Callithrix jacchus: one gene and its partners. The protein of the gene in region 6 binds, or shares a complex with, the protein of the main gene of each other region. Links are inferred from orthologs where the notes say so. Each region holds a gene or a part of one and is shown on either strand. Other genes may lie near its edges.

Region 1 (4,029 bases), on a different chromosome or scaffold from region 6:
AGCACTGTCCCCGCCTAGCACTTTCTGCAAGAAATACAATCAATTTCACAAAACACACAAACTCCACCTACCTAATTTTTAAAAATTTAGAGATTCAACTGTGCCATTCCAAAATGGAACTGATCTTCAAAGACAAGTCTGAGACCAAACAGTCCCTACTTTTCTAAGTTCCACATGGATTTGCCAATTTAAAAGTCACAAATTCTTATGTTTACAATGCAGCACTTAGTTCTAAGATCTCTTTCCACAATACTACCAAAGCTCTTGTCACCTGTAAAAGATTTCAGACTTTTCAGTTATTGTCAGATGTTTAAAAATGACATACATAATAATTACTTTTTTTTTTTTTGAGACAGTTTTGTTCTGTGGCCCAGGCTAGAGTGCAGTGGAGCAATCATGGCTCACCGCAGCCTCAACCTCCCAGGCTCAAGTGATCCTCCCACCTCAGTCTCTTGAAGAAATTACAGGCAACCGTCACCATACACAGCTAATCATTTTTTGCATTTCTCGTAAAGATGGGGTCTTGCCAGGCTGGGCATGATACCTTTAAAACCCCAGAGTGTACAGCATTAAGTTTATTTACCAAGTCATGGGTCAATTTATGTAAAACAGCCTGAGACTGAAAAACAAAATACCTTGGTACTAATTTCCTAAGACATTTCTATGCAAAAGAAATCATCTTTGCTGGCCAGGCACAGTAGCTCATGCCTGTAACCCCAGCACTTTGGGAGGCAGAAGCAGGCAGATCACCAGGTCAGAAGATAAAGACCATCCTGGCCAACATGGTGAAACCCCGTGTCTACTAAAAATACAAAAATTCGCTGAGTGTGGTGGTGTGTGCCTGTAATCCCAGCTACTCAGAAAGCCAAGGCAGAGAATGGCTTGAACCCAGGAGGTGTAGGTTGCAGTGAGCTGAGATTGTGCCACTGCACTCCAGCCTGGTGACAGGGCAGACTCCATCTCAAAAAGAAAAAGAAAAAAAGAAAGAAAGAAATCACCTTTGCTTTTTGTATTATACACTAAACCAAGTATTTGCTAAACTTCTACTACACTAGAAATAGAGGTTAGAATGATCTATCTTCCTATCTTCAAATAATAATCAGAGTTAACACTTATCAGGCATTACAGTGTACAGTATGCTCCATAGAAGCCTTATAATAGGCCCAGCACGGGCTCATGCCTGTAATCCCAGCACTCTGGGAGGCCGAAGCAGGTGGATTACTTGATGTCAGGAGTTGGAAACCAGCCTGGCCAACATGGTGAAACCTGTCTCTACGGAAAATACAAAAATTAGCTGGGCTTGGTGGCAGCGCCTGCAGTCCCAACTATTTGGGAGGCTGAGGCAGGAGAATCACTTAAACCTGGGAGGCAGCGACTATGCTACTGCACTCCAGCCTGGGCAACAGAGGGAGACTCCATTTCAAAAAAAAAAAATCGTAAAAAAGCCCTATCAGTGGTACATCATGCCAGTTCCACAAATGGAGACAAAAAGCGGTGAGGCTAAATAAACCTGCTGTAGGTCACACACTGGTGGCACCAGGATTTGAACACATGTAGCCTGGCAACAAAGCTCTCTCAAAGAGAGTGCTACCTACCTAAGGCAGTCAAGACAAATTCCCGTTTAGAAAGCTGGGTAGCTGGGTCTGGCACGGTGGCTCACGCCCATGATACCAGAACTTTGGGAGGCCGAGGCAGGAGAATCACTTGAGGTCAGGAGTTCGAGACCAGCCGAGCCAACATGGTGAAACCTCGTGTCTACTAAAAATACAAAAATTAGCCTGGCGTGGCGGCAGGCGCCTGTAATCCCAGCTATTCGGGAGGCTGGGGCAGGAAAATCGCTTGAACCCGAGAGGCCGAGGTTGCAGTGAGCTGAGTTCGCACCACTCCCACTGCACTCCAGCCTGGGCGACAGAGGGAGACTCCATCTCACAACAACAAACAAACAAAAAATTAGCCGGGCGTGGTTACTACGCACGCCTGTAGTCCCAGCTACTTGGGAGGCTGAGGCTGGAGAATCGCTTGAACCCCAGAGGCGGAGGTTGCAGTGAGCCGAAATCGCATCACTGCACTCCAACACAGAGTGAGACTCCGTCTCAAACAAACAAACAAAACCAGGGAAGCTAATGCAAAAACCTATACCGTGGTACCTCATGACAAAGCTAGGTTCGGCGGAAAGATGGAAGACCAGGTCTCTGAGTAAGCGATAAACTTCATTCCTGGGTCTCAGTCTCCCTTCGGTCCAGGTAGAAAATGAGCATCACAGGCTATTTAGGGTCGATGTCCCCAGATGCTACATTTTTAGTAAAATCTACCCCTTTACAGTCACCTAGCGGCGCTAGGGAAGCCCTAAGTTTATGGGCGGAGGTGAGATGGCCCAGAGACCGCTGCGAGACCGCCGTAAGCCCGCCTCCAGGAGTCGCCAAGGTTCGCGCACCCCGCCTCGCAGCGAGCAGCCGGGTCGGGGTCCGCAAGCCTAACCGCTGCCGCCGCTACCCCCCGGCCTCCCAAACCCGGGCTCCGTGAGCCAGCCCGGGTGACGCCTGCTAGCCCTTCTACTGCCAATGACCCGGCAGCCCGGGCTCCTCGCTCCCACCACTCACCCTCACCCTCATCGCCGCCCGCGCGCTCCCCGGGGCCCGGGCTTCGCGCGCCCAGCCACGACCACCCACCCTCCCTTCACACTCACTGGCACTTGCAGCGGCCTGTCGCTGGGTGCGACCGTCATGTCGGAATCTGAGTCGGAAAGCTGCCCATCTTCCATGTCGCCGGCCTCCAACGCCATCTTCCCGCGGCGCGGCGCGGCGCGGCGCGGCGCGGTGCGGAGGTCTACGCGGCGACGGGTCAGGAGAGCACTTCCGGCGGGAAGGCCCGGCTGCGAGGTTGCTGGGGCGCCCCCGCGCGGAGGCCTGCCTGTCCCAGTGGCCTGAGGCGTCGCCATTGCACTGGAACTACGCCGGAAAAATGAATCCCTTGGGCCCTCAACACTTTTCTTCCAAACTTTATTTTCGTGCAAACATAAATATGTTACGAGTTGCGGTCGTCTGGGATTCCGCCTTTGGCCGTACATCCCTCGCCTGTATGCTCTGGACAAGCCTCCCCCTTTCCATTCTTGCTCCTCCACAATCCACTCTACGTATTGCTTCCAGTGAAGCTTTTCAAGCAGTATAGTCCGCCCTGTATTCACTCCCTATCCACAGACGGCGAACCTGCGGATGGGAAGGACCCACCGTGCACCGCCACGTAAAGTAAGGGGCTTGAGTATGGCGGATGTTGGTATCTGTGGGGGGGTCTTGAAAACAAAGACCTGCGGATACCGAGGGACGATTGTACCTTAGCTCGAATCTTCCAAGAGCGTCCCTCCCCAAAACAAGGACTGAGTTCTCAGCCTGGTAAACAAGGTCCTGTGATCTGGGCATCTGGCCACTGGTCCTGGTGCGTCCCCATGCCCAACCGCTGGCGTGCTGCTCCTTTATTCATTCCAAGCTAACGGCCTCTGCATTTGCTTTTCACTCGGCCTGGAATGCCCTTCCCTCAACCCACTCCATTCTTTAAAGGTTATCTTGGAACCGCCTTTGCAAAAATTTGTAACAGTGAGAACATTATAGCAGTGGGAGGGATCTGATCTAGCCAACCCCTATCTTGCTTTCAGCCTTCAAGCTGCCCCTAATTACTCCTGGACTTGGGCCGGTTGATTTAATTTTGGGAGACATTTAGTTTATTTATTTGTTTGTTTGTTTATTTATTTATTGAAACGGAGTTTCGCTCTTGTTACCCAGGCTGGAGTGCAATGGCGCGATCTCGGCTCACCGCAACCTCCGCCTCCTGGGTTCAGGCAATTCTCCTGCCTCAGCCTCCCGAGTAGCTGGGATTATAGGCACGCCCCACCGTGCCCAGCTAATTTTTTGTATTTTTAGTAGAGACGGAGTTTCACCATGTTGACCAGGATGGTCTTGATATTTTGACCTCGTGATCCACCCGCCTCAGCCTCCCAAAGTGCTGGGATTACAGGCGTGAGCCACCGAGCCCGGC
Region 2 (2,555 bases), on a different chromosome or scaffold from region 6:
GACCCTTCTTGCATACCTGGCCCCCAGATCGCCCGCGGCCATACTGCCTGCCCTCCTTAAAGCCTGCATCCCAGTCTGTGCGAATGATTCGGTCATCTAGACGAGTTCCATTTATGTACCGCATGGCATTTTCTGCATCTGCTCGTGAGTAATATCTTAAGTGTTAAGGAACACTAGCATTTTCCCAAGCATTTTTGGAAATGGGAGACAACATGTAAATGAAGCTGAGTTGTTAAAAAGTTTAAGAGCTAATCCAAGCAGCGGTAGTGCAAAGACAGTAATTCAGCTTGCACAGGCCTGTTTGCAATTGGTCTAGAAGCACATGGTCAAATGTGACACTTACCCACGGCTACACTGATCATTATTTCCTGGACATTCCTGTTGATAATTTTTGGTCTCATCATCTCCGTATTTTGGTTTGCAAAATATAAAATACATTCAGTGCAGGTTTAGACCACTGTACACTTTTTATCCAAGAAACAAATGCTATATGTTCAAGTTAGGTGCTACATATTCCAGAGCAGCCTTAATAAAGAGGTCACAGTGCACATGGAATCGCACTGCATTTCACTGAAGGAAAGACTCGAGGTATCAAGAAGGTAGTAGTTCCCAAACCTACTTAATCAGAGATCTCCATTTAATTGTCTATCTGGGAAGACCTGCAAGCAGGAAGACTTTTAATCCCAGACAATTAAGACAATAGTGTTCTCAATAAACCATCTGGAGGAACTAGTGGCTTTGATGTTAGCAGGCCAAAATAAAATCTCTTTTCATTCTAGCATTTGGGAAACCCGCATATCCCCAAGGCAACCCAGCATCTGGGAGAGAAGCCCTGCCTAGGTCCAGTGAATCAGCGTTCTTAATTATGAACAGAAATCCAGGGATTACCAGACACTTAAGGAAAATTTTCAACCAAAACAAACATAAAATCAGGGCACAGAAAAAAATTCAACAGAAACATTAGATTGTGTCTGCAAAACTTCTCAGAATATTAAACTGAATGAACAAAGCATAAAATATAGTAAAAAGAACATAGGATAAATCCAGGAGGTCCAATATTTAAAGAGTGTGAGTAAAGTAATGAATGAAATGATCACAAGTAAATAAAGTTTTGGTTTTTACCTATACAGTCAACTCATATACATCTACATAATGAAATACTATACAGCTATTTTCCTTCAAAATTTTTTTTCTTTAAAAATGGGGTTTTGCCCTGTCACCCAGGCTGGAACACCATCACAACTCACTGCAGCCTTGAACTCTTGGGCTCAAGTGATCCTGGGTCTACCTCAGCTTTCTGAGTAGCTAGCACTACAAATGTGAGCCATCAAACCCAGCTATACAGCTGTCTTTAAAACAGACCTACGTGTGCTGAAATGGAACAATAAAAAAATTTATTTAAAAAGAAAACCAGCACATGAAATACACTACTGCACACCCACAGGATTACTTTTTGAAAGACACCCAAGAAACTGGTAACTGACTGCTTCTAGGAAAGGGAATTAGGTGTTTAGAACAGAACAAGGTTTTTATATTTTCACTATGCTCTTTAGAATTTTTTTTAGATGAAGGGCAAATATTCTTGAAAAACTTTTTCTTAACCATAAAGCATGAATTTCAAGAGAATGTAAAGAGTAGCAGCTTTCATAGTATAAGAGCAGAGATAAATATGACAGAAGGCAGAAGGGAGACGAAGGAAAACGTAGGAACAAGTGCAGGGATGCTTATGAACCAACAGCCTCACTTTTTTTTTTTTTTTTTTTTCAAACAGGCAACCAACCACTCTCAGCTCTACTCTGGTTCAACAGCTACATTAAACACAGGAAGGATACTCCACAAAACAGAATCCACATGCTGTTTTCTTCATTTTATCCAGACCCATAATGATTTTCTTTATGTCACCACTTTTGCTGAAGAGTTCATAGATTTGTTCTTCAGTTGTGTAAAAAGAAAGATTTCCAACATATAACGTACAGCTTTTCTTGAGTAATTTTTCTTGTTCTTCATTGTCACCCTAGAATTTCAAATAGAAACAAAAGTTAAGCAACTTAAGAGCCTTGCTTAAATAGTATTTCTAAGCATGGTAAAAAATATTCATTAATTCTGATTTGGAAATCAAATTCTCTCATCCCAATCTACCACAAATCCCTTGCCCAAAAAAAGGGGGGATTGTTCACATAATCTGTGAAGCACTTATGGAAAATCCAGACTCTTAATAGAGAGACAGTCTCAAAAGTTACACCGCAAACAACAAAATAACTTCTACACCAGACTCTCACAAGTGGCTTGCCTTTTCCATGTACACACCATATCCTCAGCACTGCATCCTTTAAACCCAAGTTTAAACTCTGGACCTTGACCTAATATATGAGAAAGGGCCCTTTTATCCTCTACAGTGAAAAGTAAGTGGATTTTCAGATAGAGTTCCTCTTTTAATGCACCTATAGAAACTGTTCAAAGCAATAACGTGGATGCTTTACATGCTCATATATTTTTCTGAGTTTAGGAAAAAATGTAGTGATCAGTAAAAAAAAACCAAAACATCTCATTTTCCT
Region 3 (3,500 bases), on a different chromosome or scaffold from region 6:
ATCCTCCTGCTTTAGCCTCCCAAAGTGTTGCGATTATAGGCATGAGCCACTGCAACCACCAGCCCATCAATTTTTAAGACACAAATGGGAAAACAGTAACTTTACAGTGGAAAAATCTAGTGATTACTGCCTTCACCAAGTGAATAAAGTGAACATCCCTAGGAATGGGACAAGTAAGTGTCCCAGGGCTCCTGACATGAGGCACTGGAAATTACATGACATCACTTCCATGGCACGCCTACCTCACATGCACAACCCTAATTCAACCAGCAGGAATCATCAGACACACCGAAACCGGGGACATCCTATAAAATAGTAAGCCTATACTCTTGGAAAACATGGGAGGACAGAAGTAGCTCCAGATTAAGGGAAGCTAAGGAAACGTGACATCCTTAAAAACACTCAGTCCTGGATTAGATCCTAGACCTGGGGGCTGGGTGGGGAATACAGAAGCGACATTATTGGAACAGCTGACAACACTTGAATATGGACGACGGATTAGGTAACAGTACTCTATTAATGTCAGATGCATTGATTTTGATGAGTGTGCTATCAGTGAAAGACAATGTTCTTGTTCTCTGGAATACGTATTCAAGTATTTAGGGGTGACGGGTTTTATCTTCAAATAACTCTCAAAAAACAGGATTTGTATATGTGTATACACATATACACACATACACACACATTTTTAAACGCCCGCCAAAAGTCACTGTGTGCAAAAGTCTTATGAGACGGGAATTAGAGCTTAATGGTATACTGGCAATGTTCAGGAGGATCCTGCTGCAATAGATTAAAACGTTTCATTTTAAAGTTTTCATAATTCAGATGTAACTGGCTGAAAACACATGGGGCAAACCAGTTTTAATAGAAAATCACTTTCTTTAGCTAGAAGTCACAGAAGTATACAAATATATTCACTTTAAAAGTCAGAAATTCCAGCTCAGGCAGTGAGCACTTATTTCATAAGCAAGAATACTATAGTTTGAAGGGAACTTTGAGACTACTTGATCTAAGTTCTATTAAAAAAAAAAGGATGTCACTCCACAATAAATCATTTTGACTGAAAATACAAAACAATACCAAATAAAAAATTTACCTTTTGTAGCAAATCTCATGAATAACCTATTTCCTTTAGCAAGTTTGTTAGCTGGACGAAGATCATTTCTTAACAAAGACTCCTCTTCTACCTGAGACAACGTGTCCAACTTAAGAAAGAAGAGTATTTTTAATATAAAAATTAAAGTCCTTTTCATATTTCTTCAGTAGTCAAGTTACCATTAAGAAAGGCATTCTACCTTTAATGCGTACAAGGGTTATAGCACCAGTTCCTCTGTAGAATTTCTAACTCAGAGGTTTCCCGCCCACCTTGTCTAAAGGAACAGTCTCAGCCATTCTCTATTCCCTACTCTTTCCTGTTTTCACAGCACCTGTCACCACCTGACACAGTATTAGGATCTGTGCATCGGTGTATCACCTGTATTCCCACTAGAATGCAGGCTCCAAGAAGACCAGGACTTTGTTTTGCTTGAAGCTATATCCATGGCACTTAGAATATGGCGTATAGTAGGTACTCAGTAAATATTTTTTAAATGAATACATGCGGCTGGGCACGGTGGCTCACGCCTGTAATCCCAGCACTTTGGGAGGCCGAGATGGGTGGATCACGAGGTCAAGAGATCGAGACCATCCTGGTCAAACAAGGTGAAACCCCGTCTCTACTAAAAATACAAAAATTAGCTGGGCATGGTGGCGCGTGCCTGTAATCCCAGCTACTCGGGAGGCTGAGGCAGGAGAATTGCTTGAACCCAGGAGGCGGAGGTTGCAGTGAGCCGAGATCACGCCATTGCACTCCAGCCTGGGTAACAAGAGCGAAACTCCATCTCAAAAAAAAAATTAAAAATGAATACATGCTAATATTTCTAACAGCAGTACATAATCCATTAGGAAATATGTCATTACTTGCTGTTTCTTAATTTTACTGATTAGATAACACTTCAAAGTATTTCTCAATAAAACTATTTTCTTTTTTGTAGAAGGATGAGCACTATTATGGGGTTTCAAGGTGAATTGTTACATCCACATGACCTTAAAGGACAAGAGCTTTGTGCATCCTCAGAAGGTCTCACGGTGAAAGCTAGAGGAAAAACACAACTAAGTCTTTAAGACTTAAATTAAAAAGACAGTAAGCATTTTTTACAAGAGAGCCTGACATCTACCTTCGCCCTATTACTAACCTCTACGTCACTTGTGTTCTCGTCTTCAACCTCTCCTTCTTCAGCTTCATCATCCTCTGAACTGTCTTCCTGCTTGTCTAACATGGAATGTGAAGGACAAGACGAAACAAGGTAAAAGTTTCATATAATGAGATACAGGATGAACTATTTCATATAATTTTAAAAGTCCAGTATTTTCCCCTTTGCTGATGATCTAAAGCATCATAGCTTACTTCAGAACCACCTGATGAGACGCTACAGCACTCTGCTGAGACACGCACAGCGCACAACAGAACTGAGTGAAGAAGAGGACTTTCAAACCCAAGTTCCCTCTTTTGTTCATCACTTACCTTTTTTATTTTTCTCAGATGACTTGTCCTCACTGGCATCCCTGCTTCTTATCTTATCCTGTGCAGGCAGAGAGCTCATATTGATAAGGGCTCGTGCAGCTGTCATTTCATCCAGCCAAACTACATTACCTTAAATAAAATATAAAATAAGACGCTACATGGCACACAAATAGTAAGTTTCCTGAGAGCAGATTCTGCACTGCAGTCATCACTATGGCCTCATCTAGCAATAGATTATCATCAGTAAATATACAAACCAACTAATGAAGAGAAATATAGGCCAGGGACAGTGACTGACGCCTGTGACCCAGTACTTTGGGAGGCCAAAGCAGGAGACTCGCTTGAAGTGAGATCATCCTGGGCAACACAGTGAGACCCTGCCTCTACCAAAAATACAAAAATTAGCTGGGCATGGTGGCATGAGCCTGTAGTCCCAGCTACTTGGGAGGCTGAGGTGGGAAGATGGATTGAGCCCAGGATATTGAGGCTACCACTCAATGCCACAGGATATTGAGGCCAAGTTCATACCATTGCACTCCAGCCTGGGGAATAGAGTGAGACTTCATCTCAAAAGAAATGAAAAGTTAAAAATAAATAAAAAAAGAAAAAGAAAGAAAGGAAAAGAAAAGAAAAGAAAGACAGAGAAGAAAGAAAGAGAGAGAAAGAGGGAAGGAAGAAGAAAGGAAAGAAAAAGAGGGCAAGGGAAGGGGAAAGGGAGGGCAAGGGAAGGAGAAGCAGACGGGGAAGGAAGAAAGGGCGGACATGGTAGTAAAGCCTCTGACAAAATTAGCCTAGAGCTGCATTTCCAAACTGGGTTCTACAAAATAGCTTAAGTATTCCATGAAAAAGGGTTGTGTATGATAACACTATTGGAATAGAACACAGGTAGTTAAATACTTAATATGTATTAGCAGTTCTTGATGATGATCACAGCTGT
Region 4 (3,972 bases), on a different chromosome or scaffold from region 6:
CCTCAGGGCCACATGTCTGGCCTGTGTCTGAACGAACAAGACTGAGCTGGGTCCCTAGTCTGATTCCTTTAGGTCAGCTAAGACACAACCAGGATCAGCCATGCTTCCAGGATTAGAAAGGAGGTCTACTGAATGATCCACGGCACCCCTCTGCCTCTGCAGGTTGGTGTAATCAGTTGGGGAGTAGTGGACGTCTGCAAAAACCACAGGCGGCAAAAGCAGGTACCTGCTCACGCCCGAGACTTTCACATTAACCTCTTCCAAGTGCTGCCCTGGCTGAAGGAGAAACTCCAAGATGAAGATTTGGGTTTTCTATAAGGGGTTTCCTGCTGGACTGAATTAAAACAGCTGCGACAACACCTGTGTTCCAGATCCTTTTGGGGCGATGGAGTGGGGAACAGGCACTGGCCATGTTGTTACAGAGATCAAACCTCACAGCCGTTTTTAAAGGCTTAACCCCAATCCCAAGTGCTGAAAAACCAGAGGCTGAGGGAGATGTGTAAGCTTCCACCTCAGTGTTTTACTGAGACCAGCATTGGGGCATATGAGGCACAAGGAATCCAGCTCTGGTCCCTAGAAGCCATCCACAAGGTTTTCCTTGTAGACATCATCACTGTAGACAATCTGGGTCCTCTTGTCCCGGTGGCAACCCTTAGGGCTGTTCTGGACAGCTAGGGAGGGAGGAGAGGAAGAGTTAAGGTCTAAAGGAGAACACAGATCAGACCCTGAGGCCGACTCTGGACTACCTCACTCCTGGCCGGGGTCTCTGGAAGCCAAGTTTTCACACTGCCCTCTGGTGGCCAGGATTGTCTGTCTCCCTTAGCTCCTTCGTGCCAACCCATGGCCAAGAAGAGTACAAGTGGATATTATGATGAATGTTTTGTTCTTAGAAAAATCCCAAATGTCATTGCTGAGACACGTGAACGATGTTACCCACTACTTATAGTATGTCAAAAGTTAAAAACTAGAAAACCTCTGTAGCCCTTTGTTGACATGCTAGTCAATTCTAGTTCCTTCATTTTGTCTGAAGGGTCATTCTTGCTCTGAGCCCTTCTTTCTGCTCACTTCTTTCCCAGGAACATCTACTTTCAGGTAGAATGGTTAATCACACTAAGAAATGCTACTAGCTCCACCAGGAGAACTCATCCAGGGTGTAGCTTTGGCCCTCACCATTCTCTCTCAAGTCCCTGGCTATTTCTTCCCCTTTCTCTTTCTTCCCTCCATCAGACATGTCACTCTTTTCACCCTATCTAACAATTCCATCCCCACCACTCTGGGGCTAGAGAGAATGGCTCCTACCCACTTCCCACCCTGTGATCTCTGTACCTTGACACTACTGGCTACTCTCTCATCTCAAAGTGTGTGTCCTTTGGCTTCAGTGACCCAGGCCCCTCTGATGCTGCTCCCAGCCCCGACTCCTGCTCCTGTCTCCTTTGCTACATCAGGCTCAACGTTAGCCTAACACATCAGGAGAGCTGGGGATACGTGGGGCATGAGGAGGACAGTCCTGTTTCCTAACACAGTCCCTGAGTACTCCTCAAGCCTAGTCCTGGGTCGTTTTTTCCCTCTGAAATCAGTCTCCCTGTTATTGTTTGGGAGCATCGCTGTGATGTGGATGACTGAATCTATGTTTTCATTCCTTACCTCACACCTGAGTTCCAGATCGCTGATTTTAAATACTGATGAAACTTGTTCTACTCCATCTTGAAATGAACAAGTCCCATGAGACACTCATCTTTCTCACCAATCTCACTCCAGCTGCCACTTTCTTTCCTGTTCAGTCACTGCTTTGGAAGTTGCTTTCAATCCTTTTCTCTCCTTTCTTTACCTCTGACGGAGGATCTGAAATTTTCCTTCCCATCCCCACAGCCTCCACACAAACTGACCTCTGTCATCTCTCGGAAACCCAAGTACATGAGGGGAAACCAAAAGGAGTGGGCTGTGGGAGAGACGATGGGGAAGGAAGAATCCCATTCTTACCAAGGGAGCCCCAAACAGACTTGCCAGTAGCGGCATCCAGCATGGGCTGTTTTCGGGCTATATTGACTTTGAGCTGTACAGACTCCACCTGGGTCCCGTTGAGCTGAAGCAGAAGAGGGGAGGCAGAGGACGGGGAACAAAACATTACAGATAAACCAAAGAAGTTATTCCAGGGGTTGCTATCCTAGGAGTAGACTGAATAGGAATCTGAGAATATAAGTTTTTCTGCGTGAATAGGGAGACTTTCTCTATCAAGAGGAACCAACTTCTTCCTGGCATCTAGTATTTTGAGAAAATATGAGAACAGCAGAAGCGATGGGAAGAACAGATTTGGGAAGTTCCAACCTCAGCAACGGCCTGATCTGCTGACTCCATCTTTTCATAGGTGACGAAGGCACAGCTAGGATAAGAGAAAACAGGGTCAGTGGAGAGCCAGTGGGCTCTTGTGGACCCAACCAAACCCAGTGATCATAGGTGGCTGCAGGCAGGGCAGCTTCTTCCCTCAGGTCTCATACCCCAGGATTCCCCCAGGACTTCCTTCTCATCCTGCCCTGTTGTCATCCTTACTTTCTGGGTGGGTCCATGGAGAGGTCAATGATGTTTCCAAAAGGAGAGAAGGCCCCACGGAGGAGGGTGGGTGTCATGTCTTCTCCGTACACATAGAGAGTGTTCCCTTTCCTAGGGGCTCGCCGTTCAGGGAATGAGTCCGACCCTTTGGGATCAGGAATCACAGTCACAAGACATAGCCCATGCCACACTTCACATAGTAGGACCCACATAAACCTTAGTTAAGGTCACCTTGACCTCCAGGCAAGCTCACTCACTGCGGAAAGGACCCTCTCGGTCTCGGTCTCGGTCTCGGTCCCGCTCCCGCTCCCGATCCCGGTCTCGATCCCTGTCCCGGTCCCGCTCTCGATCCCGATCCCTGTCCCGGTCCCGGTCCCGGTCTCTGTCTCGGTCCCGGTCTCGATCCCGCTCCCGATCTCGGTCTCTGTCCCGGTTCCTCTCATGGCTGCGGTCCCGGCTGCGACTTCGGGGAGGGGAGGCTGAGGACCGGGCACCACCACGTTCTTCATAGCCCCAGTCAAAGCTGCGAGGGGGACCATCACCAGCCCCTGGGCCCTCTGCCTCTTCTCCATCTGGCCCTAGTTCTCGAAGCCGGTCGCTAGAAGACACAAAGCTGGGGAGAAGCACACTGAAGATCAAAGGGGGCTTTTACCTTCTCCCCTCAGACCCTGTGGAGACTCAACACTCCCTCAACAGCACAGCCCCTACAGCCCAAACCTCCCAAGGACTCAGGCAATCAACCCCGCCAAGTGGGCCCAGTCTTATCTCTACTCTCTAACCTCTCATACAGAGATTTCCTCTGGGGACGTCTGGATGACTGTAAAAGAGACCAATAATAGTTAAGATTCCCAGTTGCTGACATGTGGTGCAAAATACGTTAGTCTCTCATGTTCCTCTATCCCCAACCCCTCAGAGACAGAAAATTAGGAGCCTTTACCTCCTGAAGGTCATCATCAGCAGATATGCTCCTCTGGAAGGGCTGGAAAGTGGGGACTGGTCCCTTCTCAGGGTCCTGGAGAGGTGAGGGACCTCCCTCAGTGTGGAGCAGAAGGCTGCCCAACCATGGAACAAAGGTGTTCCTCTTTGCTCACCTTCTTCTAGGTTTCCTCTGATCTGTTTTTCCTTTTAATTCTATGTACATTTCTTATTTGACTATGTGGTTTTATTTTTTGAGACAGGGTCTTGCTGTGCTGTCCAGGCTGAAGTGCAATAGTGCAATCATAGCTTGCTGCAGCCTTGACCTCCCAGGCTCAAGCAATCCTCCCACCTTAGCCTCCCTAGTAGCTGGGACTAGAGGTGCGCTCTATCATGCTTGGCTAATTTCTGTATTTTTTCTTTGCAGAGACAGGTTTCACTATGTTGCCAGGGTTAGTCTAAAACTCCTGGGCTCAAACAATTCTCCTGCCTCAGCCTCCTAAAAGTGCT
Region 5 (4,160 bases), on a different chromosome or scaffold from region 6:
GGTGAGGGTAAGGTTGGGGGAGGAGAGGGGGTTGCAGGCACAACCAGAACATCTCACATGCAAACACGGCTCACCCCCACCACCAGGCCATTGGATTCTCTTGCCGCACCACCAGCCCCATTTGACAGATGGAGGAAATGAGGCTTGGAGAGTTCAAATGGCTTGCCCCAGGGTCACCCAGCCAGAGAGTGGGGAAGGTGACTCCACTCAGGCCTTCTGACTCCAAGTCCAGTGCTATTTCGAGGTAACACACAGGACCTGGAGTCAGGAGCCCTGGGTGGCTCTGTCACCCTCTGGCTGCGTGGTCCCGTACAAGCCGCTCACTCCTCGCAGCCTCTTTCCCCAACTGTAAAATGAGGAGGCGCACGCTGGGCCCGCCCAGGTCCTTTTCCGGCTGGGCTGTGCGAGCCTTCTAGGGGCGGCTCAAAGCTCATCCTATCAATTACATTTCCCAAGTTGGGCCGGCATAGATCACCAGAAGATCCTTGGGCTGTCACGTGGTTAAGAAAAAAAAAAGCAAATGTCCCAGATTAACTTTCACTGCACTGTTCCTGCTGACACCTGATTACTCAATTTTCTAGTTTCCTCGGGTGAAATATTTCTGCTAGCTAGGCTCGCTAGGTAGCTAAAAGGGCAAAATAATTAATCATTGCTAAGCCAAACACTGAAGATGGAGTTTAAATCCGGGGTATGGTCCAAAGCGGACAGTTCTTGCAATGGGTCCCTGAAGGAGTCTCCGGCTATTTCAGGCCTCCCTCCTCATCCGAATTTCAGCGGAGAGATTAGGAGACGCCCCCAGGCAATTGAGAGATCTGGGGACAGAATCGTCCCTGGAGAGACTCTGCCCCTCCTCCCGAAGTCAGTCTCCCTAACCCCAAGCTCTAGGCTCCGGGAGTACGGAGGCTGGGACCCGCCTTCGGCGCAGACACCGGCGCGGGGCGTGTGACGGAGCCTGGCGACGGCGGCGGGAGCTCCACCGCAGTTTCGTCAGAGGTAAAGGTACGCGCCCGGCGCGCACGGCGTGTGCACACACACACACACACACACGCGCGCGCGCAACACGCTCACCACACACTCCCCCTACCTCGAGAAGCGCAATCACACGCCACCAGCCCCTCCGGCCTCTACCGCGAACCCACCCGAGCGTGCCCGCCACCGACCACGCGGCCCCGCGGCTCCCCTACGCAGCGGCGTCTGCAGCTGGCCAGGGCCGGCCTGCCTCCCGCGTGGCGGGCTTCCTGCCACGCCGCGCTGTCCCAGCAGCCGGCCCGAAGTCGCCACCCGGAGTCCGCCCGGAGCTGAACGTCTAGGCTGCGGCGTCCCCTCCAAGTCGCGTTTCACCGCAAGGAGTCAGCTTGCAACCTCTCCCCGCCCACCCGGTCCCATGACAGCTGCTGCCGCCCAAAGACTGGCAGATTATAACAAGAAGCAAAGTTTCCCTCTCTCTCCTCCCACCTCCCTCCCCCCCATCTACGCCTTCCCCCTCCTTTCCACTGTTATGCAAAACGGGCCGGCACCGGCGCTCCCACTCCAGGTACTAAATCAGCCCCCGCGAGCCGCGCCCGGTTCCGCCCGGCTGCCCCTCTCCGTGCCCAGGCGTGTGCCAGCACCCAGGGGCTCCTCCGAGGTTCCGCTGCAACCCCAGCTTCCCTGTGACCCGCAGCCGGGCGCCAGGAGAAAAAGCCCTAACTCTGGAGCCAAACTTTATGCTTGCAACAGGCATTGGGTGGGGAAAATGGGGGAGGGGTGGGGGGCGCGCACACCTCGTGCTGACATTTTTGGTAGCTGCTTGTCCCAGCAGCACCCTTCTCCCAGTCTCCAAGCCACCAGCTTCCTCGCCTCCCCCCACCCCGCGGCACACCAGAGCACTCTCTCCTGTCACGCGCGTGTCGCCAGTGGGGCTCCCGGTCTCAGCCAAAGCCTGGGACTCCGCCTCGCCTTCCCTTCCCCCTGCATCGTGGAGCGCGCGCCGGGACCGCGCGCCGCAGGGGGACCCAGGCGCCCCCAGAGAGTCCTTCCGCCCCCATCCTGCCTGGCTTTTTCCCCCAGAGGGCTCCGCCGGATAGCGAAACCAGGAAGACGCCGTCTCCGCCCGCATGTCCACGTGCCCCGCAGACCCCTGTGCCTTTAGCTGGCAACTGGCAGGAAACTCCGCGCTGCTAGCGCGGGTAGAGAGCCGCGGAGGGCCAGCAACAGCACTCGGGGGACTGGAGGCTGGAGGACTAGAGGACTCCGGAGACAGAGGCTGCGCCCGTGCCGGGGCCACAAGTCCACGTGAAAGTACGGCAGCAAGTGCCGGGCGCTGAGGGCGCGCCTCCAGCACCCAGCGACAGCCTGAGGGTACCCCACACCGTGGCGCGCCTCCACCTGCCCAAGGAAGCGCGATACCCCCAGCTCTGCCCGCGGGGGGGCAGACTCTAAGCGGCCAAGGCTAGACCCTCCCCAGCGGCCGTAGCGCCCCCAGCGCTCCAACACACTCGGGGAGACCTTCGGCTCCCAGCCCCGGTAACGGAGCGCATCGCAGGGCGCCTGGAAGGGGGGCTCTGCAGCCTGGAACCCCCAGTACCCCAGGGCGCCCACCGCTGCCTCCCGGCCTCGGCGGCGGCGGCTGCGGCTGCGGCCCCCGCAGCTCAGTACCCCTGGCCCAGGGCCCGCAGCCCCGGCGGGCCGTACCTGCGTGTCAGCGAGATAGTTGAGGAAGAAGGAGGAGAGCTCTTCGTCCAGCAGCGCGCCGCAGTCGTTCCCCGCCATCTTCCAGCCGCGGCTGCAGCGTGCGGCGGAGTCAACGCCGAGCCGGCCCGGGGGGAGGGAGCCAGCGAGCGAGCAAGGGAGGAGGGAGGAGGGAGCAAGGCCGGCGGGAGGCGGAGGGCGGAGCTCGAGCCCCCGGCTGCCGCAGGGCCACTGGCTGCGGGGGCGGGGCCGCGCGGCGCCCGCGGGAGCCGGGGGTCGCTCACCCACTTTCCTGCGCCTAGTCTGGCGCGGCGGCCGGCTCCAGCAGCCCTCAGACGGGGAAAAAGCGCAGACAGCCGGGTGGCGGTGCCCTAGCCAGCAGCTTGATGCCTGCGCAGCAATGCGGGCAGCCCCCCGCTCCTGCCAGAGCGAATCACGTTGCGTTAGCACTGGGCGGGTCCTGCTTCTTCTGCACAGCGGGGGAAACTGAGGCTCAAGAAGACAAGGACCACGTTTGAAGCCACAAGGCACATCAGTTGCAGGAAGAGAAAGCTCAGGCCTTACTCCCATGGAGGACTGAGTTTCTCTACCCAATCTACCAGGCCAGAGAAAGGGAAAAATACCATAGATAAAAAGCAGAGAAATCAAGGAAGGCTCCTTGGAGGAGGTGGTATTTTAGTCTTTCACTTGAAGTGTGCGTTTGCTTATGTTCTGTGTTAAACCTGATCATCTCTCTCTCTCCCATGGTCTCCCAACACCCTACTCCCCAAAACTTTAATGACTTCTCTTACCGTGGCCCACAATGCGCGAAGGGGCTGGGCTCCTGCCAGCCTCTGCAGGCCCACTCACAACGAGCTTGTACACCCAGCAGCCATTCACCTGGTAATCTCTTCAGGGCATCACGCCATTTCCTCTCCTTCCACCCCACCATCATGGGCTCCCTTCGCTGAGTGGTAGGCCTTTTTTCTTTAAAAGCTAGTCACAGTTGCCATTTTACATTTGTTGCAGTGAAGACTTAATCTTTGTATCTCTTCTTACAAGACTCTAACACCATGCAAGCCGGGCCTCAATCTGCTTTTGCACTTGCTGTATTGGCAGTTCCTGGCACACAGTAGGCACTTAATAAATGATGTGTTAACTAAAAAAGCTGGAGCATTTTCTCTACCACCACCACCGCCACACATGATACAGAAAAGGAGACTCACTGTCAGTGTGCACATGGAGTGACTCTCTGAGCCAGAACCAGCACTCAGACCTCCTGACTCCAAACTTGAACTCTCATCACCATGCCCTGTTTGCCAGACAGGAGGTGAGGGCACTGCCTTCATGAAGGCAAGAAGGCGGGAAGCTTTAGGTCAGTTTTATTGGGCACTCCTGCCTCCTGTCCTCCTTCCACCCTACACTCATAGGAGCTGCCCCACCCTGCCCACCCTACAAGGGCTCCCTTCCAGTGGAAGAAGGAAACAGGGAGAGTCCCCGGTACACCTGCT
Region 6 (4,248 bases):
ATATATAGAGTCAAGCATATGGAAAGTCAGGGCAGTGATAGACAGGAGCTGACAATTATCCAGAAATGCTCAGATGCATCTATTTAATTCTGACTATAATTCCTAGCCTATTATAAAATAGCCTTCTATAATACTTAAGCTTCTAAGATGTCTTATTTTTTAGAAAATAGATGTTTAACTATTTTCATTAGTTGGATTATTTGGAAGCTAAAAGGAAAGCATCCAAATTATCTGATTCAGATCACTGTGTAGGGTCAACTCCAGCTGACTGTTACCCAAATTGTGGCGATTTACAGAAATTTCAGATTTGCCGTATTATGAAGTATGAACTGTATCTGCCTCTCCCATACTAAAATACCCACCATATTAACCTTTGCTTAATGAATGCCTTCTTTTGCTTCTTTGTCTTACTTACTCTGAGGTTGTCCAGCAAGACACAAATGGACAGTGACTTGGCTGCCAGCTGGTGTTAAAGCCAACTCCAAGAAAGTTATGTCAGTCTCCCAATAACCAAAGCAAAAGTTATTTTTCTACATATTTGCATTCCAATTCTCTAGGATGCCCGAAAGTGACATTTTCTCTCTCCTTAGGGATTCCCGATAAGGGAGAAAAAGCATAAGAACAATAAAGAAAATGGAAAGGACAAAAGATTCAAGTTATCCAACCCCCAAGTAATGACTCGGGAAATATATTCGCTTTTGATTAATAACAAAGCAAATGAAAACTGTATTTTTGTCGGGCGCAGTAGCTCACATCTGTAATCCCAGCACTTTGGGAAGCCAAGGTGGGTGGATCGTCCTGAGCTCAGGAGTTGAAGACCAGCCTGGGCAACGTGGCAACACCCCATCTCTACGAAAAATACAAAAGTAAAAAAAAAACAAAAACCGGCCGGGCATGATGGCCTGCACCTGAGGTCCCAGCTACTCAGGAGGCTGAGGTGGGAGGATACTTAGGCCTGAGAGGCAGAGGTTACAGTGAGCCGAGATTGAGCCACTGCAATCCGGCCTGACAGTGACACTCTGTCTCACACACACAAATAAAGGGGAAATGTATTTTCTGTGCCTTGTACAGAGGTTACACAAGAAGCCTCTTGTGGTGGAAATCAAAGCACGCAGCCTAATTTATACCTGTGTAGCGAAGAGAGCCCTGGAATGGACTTGCTCTTCCTGGTGTCTTGGAACTGACAGCTGTCTCTCCGTGTTAGTTATACTCAGTCTCTATATCCTTAGGCGTCCGATGATAAGGCTGGACTAGAATAACCCTTCAAGCCATGCCTTTATAGAAATCTGGTGCTTCCCTATTAAAACTAAATGCATGAGATTCTGCTTCCACCTCAACTGCCGCAACACCCAAGCAGAGAGTAGAGAAAATTTAAAATGTCTGTTACGCTTTTTCCCCCTACAATGACAGCATATGCTAATGTTTACCACCTCTTAAGCATTGGCAAATGATAAATCATCATCGTGGGCCACTGCTGACGTCTCATTTAACCTTCACAAACCCCAGAAAATGTAAGTATCATTGCTTCTATATTACTAAAGTTTAAGGAGATTACATAACCTGGACAAGATCACAAAGCAAACGGTAACGTCTGGCTTTGAACCTAAACCCTCTGGTTCCAAAGTCTCACCTCTTAAACGTTACTATACACTCTCTTCAAAGATTAACACACAAAAATGTTAATAACATAATTACTCTAAGTTTCACTTTTTGTGTGTGTGGATTTGTATTTATGACCGATTGTAAGGCTTATGTGTAATGTAAGCATCTTTTGTTTAAACTAGAATTAGTCCGTTTTTATGAAGGCAACACCTTGACCTCCACGAGCACAATCATCCAAATGGAGATAGAAACCCCTAACTCTCTCAGAGGCCTGAGTTAGTTTTCTAGCACTCTTTCTCACACGAGGGAAATGTGCGTGCGGCCAGTTCAAAATCTGCCGTAACCTGTGTCTATTAGGGACCTCTTGGGCGTAATAAGACAATATTCCTTCTTCGCAGTTTGAAAGAAGGATAATCAACAGATGACCAGTACCGGAACAGAGTTCAGACTGCAATTCATGAGATCTCAGTCCTTTCCTTCAGTGAATTTTTTCGAGCCCTTTTCAGGTGCAGCTTTGAAGGTTAAAACGAGACACTGGGGTCAGTGGGTCCCTAAGAGGCACCAGTACAGACACAGGTGTGCTTCCCTGCTCCGTGGTGCTAAGGACCAAGCTCTGAAGCGTCCTTAGAGACCAAGGGTCTATCCGTGGGGTTCACCAGGCCTCCTTTCCCAGGATCGGCCCATGACTCAAGGAACTGGGGCGGGGGAGAAGTCGCTTTCCAGAAGCCTTCCGGCCACACCGGTACTGTATTCCACTCTTTCCCTCCGCGGCTCCCCGCACGCTCCCGGGAAAAAGCGGTTCCCTTCTCTTCCCTGGACACCCAAAGATTCCGAACCTCGGCTCCCAACCGGGAGCGGCCTCCGCGGCAGGGCCGCGGGCACTCACCGTCGTTCTCGTCGCTGTGCCGCCGCCGCGACATGCCGCCCTACGGTGCGCCGCGGAGCCGAGAGGCCAGGCGGTAAGCCCTGCAGGAACTGCCCGGCCGTTGGCCGGCGCGAGGGCAGCTGCGAAGCGCGCGGATGCGCCGGCACGCAGGCGCAGTCGCTCGCCACGGCTCCCGGAAGCGCAGAAGAGGCCGCTGGGTGAGCTCAGAGCCGAAAGAGCCGGCGTGCAGAAGCTCAGAGGGCTACGGGCGTCGGGCCCGCACGCAACCGCCCCCTTCGGGCTGCCTCCGCCTGCCGGCTGCTTCTTTCTCCCGCCTTCCGCTCTATGTCCTTCCGGGGCCACGCAGAAAGTGCCGCCGCTTCGACCAGTCAGAGCCCCCGGGCCAAGGTCGTCGTACGTCTGAAGGCAAGTGGTGCCGGCGGCCGCTCTAGTCCCCGCCTCCGTTCAGGCCGGTCGTTCGGGGCGTCTCAATGGTTTTCCCGGCGGCCCTTGCGCCGACGTCCAGGAGACTTCCGGAGCTTGGTGACGTCACGAGCGAGCTTTTCTACCCAAACATGCGGCGGGGGCCAGACTCGAGGGCAGTAAGCAGTGACAATTGCTAAGTGGAGATGGTGCAGGGAAGAGAGACCTAAGAAAGGATCAGGACTGGCGGGTATGTGCTCATCTACTCCCACTTTCCGGCTTTTGCCGCCTTGGGAAAAGTGGGCGGAGAGGTTGGGCCAAGCTGTGCACGCGGGGTGGGGCCTGGGCGGGAGGCGGTGCCGCACGTGCCGCCCCCTGGGATGGAAAGGCCGGTCCTGACGCGATCTTGCTGCTACCTGCTGCTCCTGGCTTGCCGGCTTGCCGTCATTTTACCTAAGTGTTTGCTTAAGAAGGAACAAATGATTTTTGGTCATCTGTCTTCAAGGATTATTGGGTGCCTATATGCCTGTGTGTGAATATTCCCTCCTCTGATGTCTTTCTGAGCACCATACTGGCTTACCTAACTACTTTGTCCATGGCCATCTGAAATTTCACTCTCTCGGACTAATTCTCTTTCAGTCTTATTTCAGTAAATTACGTCATCGATCGGCTGCTTAATCCAAAAGTTTAGGGAGTCTTAGTTCTTTTCCCTCACTTTTTACATAACAATTATTTGTAAACCCTGCGTGCTCTGCTTTCAACACAAATCCAGAATCAGATCGTGTTACTGCTTTGTTTAAAAGACTCCTGTGAGGGCCGGGCGCGGTAGCTAACGCCTGTAATCCCAACACTTTGGGAGGCTGAGGCGGGCGGATCTCTTGAGCCCAGGAGTTCAAGACCCACCTGGGCAACGAGGCGAACCCCGTCTTTACAAAAAAGAAAAAAATAGCCGGCCCTAGTGTTTAGCGTCTGTAGTCCCAGTTACTCAGGGGGAGAGTAGACGGCCGAAGTGGGAGGATCCCTTGAACCCAAGAGATCGAGAATGAAGTAAGTCGTGATTGCACCACTGCACTCAAGCCTGGGTGGCAAAGTGAGACCCTGTTTTTTTTAAAAAAAAAAAAAAGTGTTTTACGACTTTCCATTGCAAACTCCATACCATGGCCTATGGGGTTCTAGCTCTCCTCACCATGCTCCAACCACTCTTTCTGTTCTTCTAGTATGTCAAGCTTTTAGGAACTTATACTATTTCTTTTACCTGAAGGTCTCTGGTTCTAAATCTGCGTGACTGGCTCTTGGTCACTTAGGTCTCAGCTCAATTATCAGGTCCTTAGTGAGGCCTTCTTTGGTTACCCAATCGC

What was found.
Region 1: the proteins of NCBP1 (region 6) and PHAX are in contact, whole or in part, in a cryo-EM structure (PDB 8PNT), measured with the Homo sapiens proteins. The link is inferred for Callithrix jacchus from reciprocal best matches to the Homo sapiens genes NCBP1 and PHAX. Residues at the interface, in NP_002477.1 of Homo sapiens: Cys380, Lys381, Pro384, Pro388, Gln389, Leu391, Ala392, Thr395, Phe417, His420, Leu421, Asn423, Phe424, Gln425, Arg427, Trp428, Ser429, Asp432; in NP_115553.2 of Homo sapiens: Ile114, Asn115, Asn116, Ile117, Trp118, Gly119, Val121, Leu122, Glu124, Gln125.
Region 2: the proteins of NCBP1 (region 6) and NCBP2 are in contact, whole or in part, in a crystal structure (PDB 5OOB), measured with the Homo sapiens proteins. The link is inferred for Callithrix jacchus from reciprocal best matches to the Homo sapiens genes NCBP1 and NCBP2. Residues at the interface, in NP_002477.1 of Homo sapiens: Glu32, Cys36, Leu71, Thr74, Val75, Arg77, Leu78, Leu79, Ser324, His325, Trp326, Lys327, Glu328, Arg329, Lys330, Ile368, Val370, Met371, Thr374, Glu378, Asn415, His419, Ser422, Asn423, Gln425, Lys455, Arg458, Leu459, Ser460, Tyr461; in NP_031388.2 of Homo sapiens: Gly4, Leu5, Leu6, Lys7, Leu9, Arg10, Ser11, Asp12, Ser13, Tyr14, Glu53, Glu54, Gln55, Tyr57, Glu58, Leu59, Lys62, Ser63, Asp65, Lys67, Ile69, Tyr89, Asn96, Arg99, Tyr100, Asn102, Gly103, Thr104, Arg105, Leu106.
Region 3: the proteins of NCBP1 (region 6) and NCBP3 are in contact, whole or in part, in a cryo-EM structure (PDB 8BY6), measured with the Homo sapiens proteins. The link is inferred for Callithrix jacchus from reciprocal best matches to the Homo sapiens genes NCBP1 and NCBP3. Residues at the interface, in NP_002477.1 of Homo sapiens: Lys330, Ile377, Glu378, Cys380, Lys381, Pro384, Pro388, Gln389, Ala392, His420, Asn423, Phe424, Gln425, Arg427, Trp428, Ser429, Glu431, Asp432; in NP_001107590.1 of Homo sapiens: Glu572, Asp574, Glu576, Leu577, Gln578, Ala580, Trp581, Gly582, Leu584, Ile585, Lys588, Glu589, Arg592.
Region 4: the proteins of NCBP1 (region 6) and NELFE are in contact, whole or in part, in a crystal structure (PDB 5OOB), measured with the Homo sapiens proteins. The link is inferred for Callithrix jacchus from reciprocal best matches to the Homo sapiens genes NCBP1 and NELFE. Residues at the interface, in NP_002477.1 of Homo sapiens: Tyr461, Lys511, Lys557, Ser558, Ser560, His561, Ser564, Lys568, Ile609, Arg610, Gln612, Cys616, Lys647, Met648, His651, Glu705; in NP_002895.3 of Homo sapiens: Arg362, Ile365, Val366, Tyr367, Ser368, Asp370, Val371, Tyr372, Gly379, Phe380.
Region 5: the proteins of NCBP1 (region 6) and PPARGC1B are in contact, whole or in part, in a crystal structure (PDB 6D0Y), measured with the Homo sapiens proteins. The link is inferred for Callithrix jacchus from reciprocal best matches to the Homo sapiens genes NCBP1 and PPARGC1B. Residues at the interface, in NP_002477.1 of Homo sapiens: Glu26, Asp29, His30, Ser33, Leu34, Lys37, Val38, Lys41, Ser42, Ala43, Cys44, Asn49, Gly52, Leu53, Val56; in NP_573570.3 of Homo sapiens: Tyr1006, Glu1007, Ala1008, Met1009, Asp1010, Phe1011, Asp1012, Leu1014, Leu1015, Lys1016, Glu1017, Ala1018, Gln1019.

Annotation. Positions count from the first base shown.
Region 1 is NC_133503.1:82,384,416-82,388,444, forward strand, and holds the start of PHAX (phosphorylated adapter RNA export protein), read right to left. Parts: upstream 2,801-4,029; 5' UTR 2,783-2,800; coding exon 2,687-2,782; intron 25-2,686; coding exon 1-24. UniProt on the Homo sapiens protein: A phosphoprotein adapter involved in the XPO1-mediated U snRNA export from the nucleus.
Region 2 is NC_133516.1:25,211,496-25,214,050, reverse strand, and holds part of NCBP2 (nuclear cap-binding protein subunit 2), read right to left. Parts: intron 2,015-2,555; coding exon 1,833-2,014; intron 156-1,832; coding exon 17-155; intron 1-16. UniProt on the Homo sapiens protein: Component of the cap-binding complex (CBC), which binds co-transcriptionally to the 5' cap of pre-mRNAs and is involved in various processes such as pre-mRNA splicing, translation regulation, nonsense-mediated mRNA decay, RNA-mediated gene silencing (RNAi) by microRNAs (miRNAs) and mRNA export.
Region 3 is NC_133506.1:67,508,873-67,512,372, forward strand, and holds part of NCBP3 (nuclear cap-binding protein subunit 3), read right to left. Parts: intron 2,693-3,500; coding exon 2,564-2,692; intron 2,312-2,563; coding exon 2,235-2,311; intron 1,206-2,234; coding exon 1,097-1,205; intron 1-1,096. UniProt on the Homo sapiens protein: Associates with NCBP1/CBP80 to form an alternative cap-binding complex (CBC) which plays a key role in mRNA export. NCBP3 serves as adapter protein linking the capped RNAs (m7GpppG-capped RNA) to NCBP1/CBP80.
Region 4 is NC_133505.1:39,471,458-39,475,429, forward strand, and holds the end of NELFE (negative elongation factor E), read right to left. Parts: intron 3,560-3,972; coding exon 3,485-3,559; intron 3,365-3,484; coding exon 3,327-3,364; intron 3,161-3,326; coding exon 2,805-3,160; intron 2,693-2,804; coding exon 2,548-2,692; intron 2,381-2,547; coding exon 2,326-2,380; intron 2,084-2,325; coding exon 1,981-2,083; intron 672-1,980; coding exon 574-671; 3' UTR 501-573; downstream 1-500. Other genes in the region: CFB (complement factor B), read left to right, coding at 163-318. UniProt on the Homo sapiens protein: Essential component of the NELF complex, a complex that negatively regulates the elongation of transcription by RNA polymerase II.
Region 5 is NC_133503.1:48,438,521-48,442,680, reverse strand, and holds the start of PPARGC1B (peroxisome proliferator-activated receptor gamma coactivator 1-beta), read right to left. Parts: upstream 2,801-4,160; 5' UTR 2,752-2,800; coding exon 2,674-2,751; intron 1-2,673. UniProt on the Homo sapiens protein: Plays a role of stimulator of transcription factors and nuclear receptors activities. Activates transcriptional activity of estrogen receptor alpha, nuclear respiratory factor 1 (NRF1) and glucocorticoid receptor in the presence of glucocorticoids.
Region 6 is NC_133502.1:145,760,772-145,765,019, reverse strand, and holds the start of NCBP1 (nuclear cap-binding protein subunit 1), read right to left. Parts: upstream 2,801-4,248; 5' UTR 2,523-2,800; coding exon 2,489-2,522; intron 1-2,488. UniProt on the Homo sapiens protein: Component of the cap-binding complex (CBC), which binds cotranscriptionally to the 5'-cap of pre-mRNAs and is involved in various processes such as pre-mRNA splicing, translation regulation, nonsense-mediated mRNA decay, RNA-mediated gene silencing (RNAi) by microRNAs (miRNAs) and mRNA export.